2 linked regions of the Macaca fascicularis genome follow. Each later gene encodes a partner of the first gene's protein in a complex. Links are inferred from orthologs where the notes say so. Each region holds a gene or a part of one and is shown on either strand. Other genes may lie near its edges. The genes, in order: GTF2E2 and POLR2D.

Evidence for each region.
Region 2: GTF2E2 (region 1) and POLR2D share a complex: the UniProt entries of both Homo sapiens proteins name them as parts of the TBP-based Pol II pre-initiation complex. The link is inferred for Macaca fascicularis from reciprocal best matches to the Homo sapiens genes GTF2E2 and POLR2D.

What each region holds. Positions count from the first base shown.
Region 1 is NC_088382.1:33,860,870-33,865,110, forward strand, and holds the start of GTF2E2 (transcription initiation factor IIE subunit beta), read right to left. Parts: upstream 3,012-4,241; 5' UTR 2,406-3,011; exon of another isoform or gene 2,168-2,405; intron 1-2,167. UniProt on the Homo sapiens protein: Recruits TFIIH to the initiation complex and stimulates the RNA polymerase II C-terminal domain kinase and DNA-dependent ATPase activities of TFIIH. Both TFIIH and TFIIE are required for promoter clearance by RNA polymerase.
Region 2 is NC_088386.1:3,674,728-3,679,198, forward strand, and holds the start of POLR2D (DNA-directed RNA polymerase II subunit RPB4), read left to right. Parts: upstream 1-1,626; 5' UTR 1,627-1,651; coding exon 1,652-1,724; exon of another isoform or gene 1,725-1,946; intron 1,947-4,471. UniProt on the Homo sapiens protein: Core component of RNA polymerase II (Pol II), a DNA-dependent RNA polymerase which synthesizes mRNA precursors and many functional non-coding RNAs using the four ribonucleoside triphosphates as substrates.

The sequences.
Region 1 (4,241 bases):
TCCAATTTGGATGGAGGTGGTTTGAGGCAACTTCTATGTTGTGGTTGTTTGTCCAGTTCTAAAATTACAACTGTAAGCAACTTCAGTACAACCAGGGAAGCTACAGGTCAACCAAGAAGAATTCTAAACACTCCTCTCTTCTGAACTCTGCTAGAACCTTGCAGAGGGTCTATGAAGACCTCAAGCTGACTATATAAATGAATTTGACACTGTTAAGACTAGTGTCAGCTGGGAGGAAAAAGACTCATACTTTGAAAGCTTCTAAGCACAGATAGCTCAATAAATGTTAAATGAACAACACATGGAACAACATCTTTAAATTGCTCTGGTCCCATTATTACTGGTTTCACAAGCCTTTATTAAATGTCTTCTGTTTGTGAGGCACTGTGCTCTAAGCTTTGAAAGGTTATGGAGGATAAATCCTTGTCTGCGTGCTGCTTAGATTTGAGGAAATGGAGCATTCAGCTAAAAATTTAAAATATAAGCATTAGTAAGAAATAATCAGAGTGAATTCCAATTAAGGCGTGAACAATCACTGTACGGTGAATCAAAAACCTGCCTTCTCTCAGTATCAATTTTTTTTTTTTTTGAGACAGAGTCTTGCTCTGCCGCGCAGACTGGAGTGCAGTAGGGCAAAATCGGCTCAATGCAACCTCCGCTTCCTGAGCTCAAGCGATTCTCCTGCCTCAGCCTCCCGAGTAGCTGGGGCTACAGGTGCGAAGCACCACGCGCCGCTAATTTTTGTACTTTTAGTAGAGACGGGGTTCATTCACCATGTTGGCCAAGCTGGTCTTGAAGCCCTGACCTCAAGTGATCCGCCCACCTCAGCATCCCAAAGTGCTGAGATAACAGGCGTGAGCCACCACACCCGGCCTCAGTTTCAATTCCTAAGAGCCACCTGGCTAGGCAACCCACAAGGCCTCTACATTCAATTTCATAAGTAAAATGAGGACGCTGCGAAAGCTATCCACATCCAGCCCAATTGTAAGAATGAGAAAACGTGTGTTATTTTTTAAATAGTAAAGTCATAAAAACATATGTCATTTCAGTATTACTATTTCGAGTTGGATCTGAAAGAAAAGAACGATTTACTGCGCTGAGGAAGGTAGGAGACAGCCTTGGGAGGAGGGAAAGCGTGGGGCCGAGAACAAGAAAGGAGAATTGTTAAGTGAGAAGGTGGGGGCAACAAGCTGATTGTGAATTTCTAGAACAGGAAACATTTGTGTCTTATTATTTCACGTTGCAAAGGCAGGACCTTAATCTGGACTTTTAAAAAACGACTCTAAAATATTTAAATAGGCCGGCCGCAGTGGTTCACGCCTGTAATGCCAGCCCTTTGGGAGGCCGAGACGGGCGGATCACGAGGTCAGGAGTTCTAGACCAGTCTGGCCAACATGGTGAAACTCCGTTTCCGCTAAAAAATTTTTAAAAATTGCGGGGCGTGGTGGCGGGCGCCTGTAATCCCAGCTACTTGGGAGGCTGAGGCAGGAGAATCGCTTGAACCAGGGAGGTGGAGGTTGCAGTGAGCCAAGATCGAGCCACTGCACTCCAGCCCGGAAGACAGCGCGAGACTCTGTCGGCACAAAAAAAAAAAAAAAAAAAAAAAAAAAGATGTAAATAAAGCCGTACAGTTTACAACAAACTAAATGCTTACAGTATTTGACCCTCGCAACTCCAGGAGCAAACAGGTATTAGTGTCATTCCTATTTTAATACATGAAATCTGAAGTGAAGCTGTCTGGTTAAGGTCGCACAGATGGAAGAGCCAGGGCCAGAACCCAAACCTCCTGACTCCTAACTCAAGTGCTCCTTACAACAGATCTGGAATGCTGGTAAAGGCCTTTAAAACAAAGGCCACCTATGAGGTTCGGGAACGTTCAAAGGCATCTAGAGCAGAAGGCTTCGCAATGTCTTCACGTGCTCCGCCTAACTTTTCCTCCTTTTTCAAAGACTACTCAATATGTGTAGTACGCTTTAGATCTCTGGACCCACCTATGTAGTAAACAGGTTACATCACCATGTTCATTTTACAATTAAACAAAACTATCACAACTCAAGGAGTTGGCTGGTTCCTCCGCGGGCAGATATGGAAAACCCAAAAATTAAACTGAAATCTGCCTCCAAGCCCACGATTCTTGCCATCATTCGACCTCTTTCAACCTTCCTACCTCCCCTCTGTTTTACTTTTTCCCAGCCTCGTTAGTGTCCCTGGCACCTCAGGATCCGGCCATGAAAAGCGGGCTGCTTCGCCCTTAAATGACGGAAGTGAGGAGGTGGGCGGAAAGCGGGCCGCAGCATTGTTGTGGAAAACGTCTTTAGACTTCAGAAATCAACTACTATCGTTAATGTTTAGGGATCATCACAAACCAAGTCTCCAAAAGGTAGCCCAGAAAGCAGTCCGCGTACAAGCATCATTTTAAATCACAGCCTTGAGCTGGCTGGACCCCGTGGCTCCTCAGACTCCACAACGTGGTTCGCTTGGCTACCGCGCCCGTGAACTTGGAGGCTTGGAAGAGGCACAATCAGGTAGCAAACAGCGAATTTTCCCTCTTTCCAACCCAAAAGTTTGCTCAATGAACCTCCGGCCTAAAGACAATGCTCCGGGGAACGGTTCGCGTGCTCGGTGTTTCGCTTCCAGAACGGCGGCCCCAGCTTCCCGTGGGGTGGAGGTCACGCTCAGCCTCCCGGGAGGCGGCGGCGCGCCTGGATCCTGGGGAACAGCAGGACGGGGCTCTGCGCCCCTCACCCGGCGGCCGCAGCCCCTACCTGAGTGAGGCGGGCAGCCTCTCACGACTCGCCGCCCAGTTCCTGCGCCTCCGCCTCGGCCAGCCGCCCACGCCGGCACTGCAGCCTCTTCCTGCTCCTCGTCAGCGCCCCCGCCTGCCCGCACGCACGCCCAGCGCTGACCCGCCAGGTCGGGGTCTCGCCACTGGCGGCGGCGGCGGCGGTGGCTGAGGCGACGACTCGACCCGGGACTCCGCCCGCCACTTCCCGATCTGGTGCTAGGAGCTCAGTCCCGGCAGCCACCGCGGCGCCAGGGCAGCGAAGCGAGCGCATGCGTCATAGGGTGCCCCGCCTCTGGTGCCGCGGGAGCAGAACTATCCCGCTGTGGCGTCCTGGAGCCTCCATGACAACGAGGGAAGGGCCGGGGCGGGGCCGAGGAGTGGACTGAAGTGGGAGGCGGTGCCAAGGAAGATGGAAGACAGCTTTCTTTACGCACATTTAATTAAAGCTGCTACAGCCTGCTCCCGCCTGCGCTGGGATGTGGTGAACCCAACCAGCGACGCTATCTTTCAATGGTTACTTTGTGTTTTTTGTCTTTTTCTTATTAGAGATGGGATCTCACTTGGTCGCCCAGGCTGGACTGCAGTGGCGCGATCTCGGCTCACTGCAACCTCCGCCTCCTGGGCTCAAGCCACTTTCCCACCTCAGCCTCCGGAGTAGCTGGGATCACAGGCGACTGCCACCACGACGGGCTGATTTTTGTTGTTATTGTTTGTATTAATAGGGTCTCACAGTGTTGCCCAGACTGGTCTTGAACTCCTGAGTTCAAGCGATCTGCCCGCCTCGTCTTCCCGAAGTGCTGGGATTACAGGCGTGAGCCACCGCCTCCGGCCTCAACGGTTATTTTGTGAGTTTACCCCAGTGCCACCCACCAGCACCTGCTCTCCGAGAACGCGGTTCCAGCTATTTTACAAGCGAAGAACAGAGGGCCAGGAAGCTAATTAATAAATGACTTGCTCAAGACAGCACAGCTAGCAAAGGCAGCATGATGTGGAGCTCAGCCCAGCCTCTTCCCTCCACCCCTGTGAACTGTCTTAGAAAAGGATTTTGGATTTAGAAGCCAGATAAATGGGTGGAAATAAAGCAATGGAAAAAATAATTGTCGTTGCTCGAACCCTGCAGCGTGGCAGGCCTTCCCTCACTCTTATAACCTAAAGCGCCAGTACAGCCAGTGCTCAGCCATTCTGTGGCTGTCGTTGAATTACTTAACTACTGGTTACTCTTCAAGTTACTAAAACTGTGGCTCAGTTTTCTCACCTGGAAAATCGGGATAATCATTGTACTACTACAATGAGTTACTTGCATTGGACTGTGGTGAAAATGAGAAATACCTAAAATTTTATTCAAAACTTGGAAAAAAGTCAAAAGATAATATTTTGTGACCTTTTTGATTAGTTTCATTCTAGAGAATTTTGTAATAAGCCTACTTGATCATCTGACACCCACAGGAAATGTAAC
Region 2 (4,471 bases), on another chromosome or scaffold:
GGAGGTCAGGCTGCACAGGCCAGACAGGATTCCCAGGACAGCCTTCTAAAGGATTTCTTTTTTTTTAGTTTTAAAATTTTACTTTTTAATTTTTTAAAGCTTTTTTTTTTTTTTTTTTTTTTTTTTGAGACAGAGTCTCACTCTGTCGCCCAGGCTGGAATGCAGTGGCGCAATCTCGGTTCACTAAAACCTCCGCCTCAGCCTCCCGAGTAGCTGGGATTACAGGCGCCCGCCACCACGCCCCAGATTTTTTTTTTTTTTTTTGGTAGAGAGAGATTTCACCATGTTGGCCAGGCTGGTTTCAAACTCCTGACCTAAGGTGATCCGCCCGCCTCAGCTTCCCAAAGTACTGGGATTACAGGCGTGAGCCACCGCGCCTGGACTTTGCCTGTTTTTTTTTGGCCGGTCTCTCTCTCTTGCCCAGGCTGGAGTGCAGTGAGGCGATCATAGTTCACTGCATCCCTCAAGCGATACACCCGCCTAGGTCTCTCCAGTAGCTGGGACTACAGGCGCGCACCACAACGCCAGGCTAATTTTTGTATTTTTTAGAGAGGAGGTCTCACTATGTTGTCCAGGCTGGTCTTGAACTCTGGAGCTCAAGCGATCCTCCAGCCTCGGCCTCCCAAAGTGCTGGGATTTCAGGCGTGAACCACTGTGCCCGGCCCAATTCATTTGTTGTTAAATCAACAGAGTTTACAATATGACCTTCTAAACATTGTTGACTAATGAGCTAAGATATCGTTGACTAATAAGCTACGATTATTTCCTTTATTGTACAACCTTTCGTTTTCTCCAGTGTAGAAAACAGCATCATTTTTCATTTGCATTTCTTTTTTCTTTTTTAATATATATATATATATATATATATATATATTTTTTTTTTTTTTTTTTGAGACGGAGTCTCGCTCTGTCGCCCAGGTTGGAGTGCAGTGGCGCGATCTCAGCTCCCTGCAACCTCCGCCTCCCGGGTTCAAGCGAATCTTCTGCCTCATCCTTCCGAGTAGCTGGGATCACAAGCGCCCACCACCATGCCCGGCTAATTTTTGTATTTTTAGTAGAGATAGGGTTTCACCATTTTGGTCAGACTGGTTTCGAACTCCTGACCTCAGGTGATCCCGTCGCCTTGGCCTCCCAAAGTGCTGGGATTACAGGCGTGAGTCACTGTGCCCGGCCGTCATTTGCTTAATTTTCTATGCATCACCCAAATGTTCCAACAGACGTGTGGTAAAAGCCTCTGAATATCATTGTCCGCGTGCTCAGAAGTATTAGATAATCCATCACAAATGAATAAAATTTTAGAAGTGTAAGTCAGTGAAAGAAATTCGACCCGGCACGTTCGGAGTCGGCTGCCCTGCTCTCCATCAGCAGGCGTTCCTGCAGCTCATCTGACCCTCTCCGCCCAGAAAGGCCTAGGGACCTACCCCAGGACGTCTGCGCGGCGAGGCGCGAGGGAGGAGAGGGAGTGCAGGGCGGCCCTGGGCGGCGGGGAGCCTCCGGGACAACACCAGCAGGTCCCCTCGCTGCGCCCCGCCAGCCTCACACTCCCGGCCCCGCCCACCCCTCGGGGCCCCTCCCAAGACCACGCCCCTTCCGTGGCCGTTGCTCCGCGCTTCCGCTTCCGGCGGCGCTGGTGGTGGCGCGCGACTCAGCGATGGCAGCAGGTGGCGGCGATCCGCGGGCTGGCGACGTAGAGGAGGACGCCTCACAGCTCATCTTTCCTAAAGGTTGGGCTCGGGGCCGCCAGACTGCCCCGCGGCACTTCGCGTGGTCGCCGCAGGCCTGGCGTTATCCGCGCTTCGCCCAAGGCCTGGCCTCGGCGGCGGCTTGGGCAGACCCCCGCGCGGCGTAGGGCTGGGGAGGGAACGTGGACCTGGGAGTGGCCGCCTGGGCAACTGGGTTATTTTATGTGATAACAAACTGCGAAGTTCCGGGCGCTGGTGTCAAAGGTAAACAAAGCCGGAAACCCAGGTGGTGAGGACAGATTTTTAAACAGGGATAGAACGTTGCACTAGGGAGAAGAGTCCAGCGTGAACCGAACTCAACTTCGATTAGTACCGAACCTCTGGGCGTTTTAAAGGAGAGTTAGGGAATAAGGATGTGGTGAGCGGGGGCTCAGGGGAGTCGGGGAAGTGAGAAATGTAAAAAAGAGGGAAGAGGAGGGTCCGTGTGAACCCACCTTGGTTTGTTGACTGCAGCATCTATCGAAGTTAGGCCCCTACCCTCCCACCGAGGCGGAGAGACAGAGGCCTGTTTTCAGCCGTTGGCTGGAACAAACAAATTATTTTGTTTTTTTTTTTTTTTTGAGACGGAGTCTCGCTCTGTCTCCCAGGCTGGAGTGCAGTGGCGCGATCTCGGCTCACTGCAAGCTCCGCCTCCCGGGTTCACGCCATTCTCCTGCCTCAGCCTCCCGAGTAGCTGGGACTACAGGCGCCCACAACCGCGCCCGGCTAATTTTTTGTATTTTTAGTAGAGACGGGGTTTCACCGTGGTCTCGATCTCCTGACCTTGTGATCCGCCCGCCTCGGCCTCCCAAAGTGCTGGGATTACAGGCGTGAGCCACCACGCCCGGCCCAAACAAATTATTTTGGCAGCCTCGAGTTTTCTCAGGCACGCAGTGGTTGGGGAGGGTATTCCTAGGGATAAGGACCTCAAGACCTCAAGTGATCCATCCACCTTGGCCTCACAGAGCTGGCATTACAGGCGTGAGCCACCTCGCCCTGCATTTTTTTTTTTTTTTTTTTGAGGCAAGATCTCATTCTGCTACCCAGGTTGGAGTGCAGTGGTGTGATCACAGCTCACTGCAGCCTCAACCTTCCCAGGCTCAGGTAATCCTCCCACCTCACTTCAGCCCCTGGAGTACCTGGAACTACAAGTGCACACCACCACACCTGGCTAGTTTTTGTATTTTTTTTGTGGAGACAAGATTTCACCATGTGGCCCAGGCTGGTCTTGAATTCCTGGGCTCAAGTGGTCTACCTGCCTTAGCTGCCTAAAGTGTTAGAAAGTACAGGTGTGAGCCACTGCACCGGGCCTATTAATGGTCGTGATGACGGAACCTTACTAAAATTTCCAGATGACATACTGGCCAAGGAATTGTTTTCCTTTTTTAGCAACAGGGATTAATTATGGCCATTGTTCTTAAAATATTTGCACAAGAGAGAATAACATGCAGATCCCCTGATCTGTTTCCTTTTGTTTCCAAATAAATTGTGTGTGTGTGTGTGTGTGTGTGTGTGTGTGTGTATGCTTTCACTTGAAAATGTTTATTGGAATTAGCCATGGGGAGAAGTCTTGGATTCCTCCTCTCCGTAGTTATACAAAAGTGTCTGAACTGCCTCCCCCATCCCCATTTTGTTGATGCCGAATCCTGGGAATGCCTCCCAAAAGCTCTGTGGTAGGTCTCAGACACCCCTTTCCTAGGCCCTCTGAGTTACAGTTTGGCTGCCTTGACCTTCCTTGGTTGAAGGGAGTGAGGGTAATGTATTAGTAGTACTTGAATATTGTTCTTAATGAGAAATAGGGACAGCTGACTAGTTTCCTGGTGGCCTAAAAGTTCCATTCCTTTCCATTTAACAAGTAATTTTGGTTTAGTGCAGAAAGGGAGGCATCTGTTTTGTTTTGTTTTGTTTTTTTGAGACAGAGTGTTTCACCCTTGTTGCCTAGGCTGGAGTGCAGTGGCACAATCTCGGCTCACCGCAACCTCCACCTCCTGGGTTCAAGCGATTCTCCTGCCTCAGCCTGAGTAGCTGGGATTACAGGCATGTGCCACCATGCCCGACTAATTTTTGTATTAGTAGAGATGGGGTTTCACCATGTTAGGCTGGTCTCGAACTCCTGACTTTAGGTGATTCACCTGACTTGGCCTCCCAAAGTGCTGGGATTACAGGCATGAGCCACGGCGCCCAGCCTGGGATGCATCTCTTAACATTGATTTTTCCAGGACCTGTAAAAGCATCAAAGTTCCAACACACCGATTTGTAACTGATTAGCTACTTCTTCCCTTTTTTGTTTTGGCCTGATGTCATTTGTTACTGTCGCTTCAGAGTTTGGAGGTCCTGCAGTCCTGATATATAATGCCTTTTCCTCTACTCATTGCTGTGAGGCAGTAGTTTCTTCTGTACCTACAGTGCCTCAGTGTTAAAGATTAAAAGTAGTAAAGTTCCTGGTATACAAATAGGCACTCACTGTAGTACATCCCCTGTTATAGGCTGGAAGACAGAAAAAGGTGTTCTGAGGTTTTTGTTTAAACTCTCCTGCCCTCAGGTAGAAAATAGCTTTTGGTTACCTATTTTTTTATTTAGATTTTAATTTTATTTCAATAGTGCTCCAGCTGTATTGGTAGCCTATTATATTCAGTAGCAATGAGTACCTTTCAAATAAAAATAGACTTTCCTCCTGACCTACCACTTAAACTGTCTGTGTCGTGAAAGGAGAATGAGGCTCTTGTCAGTTACCCGGCTTGAGAATTGGG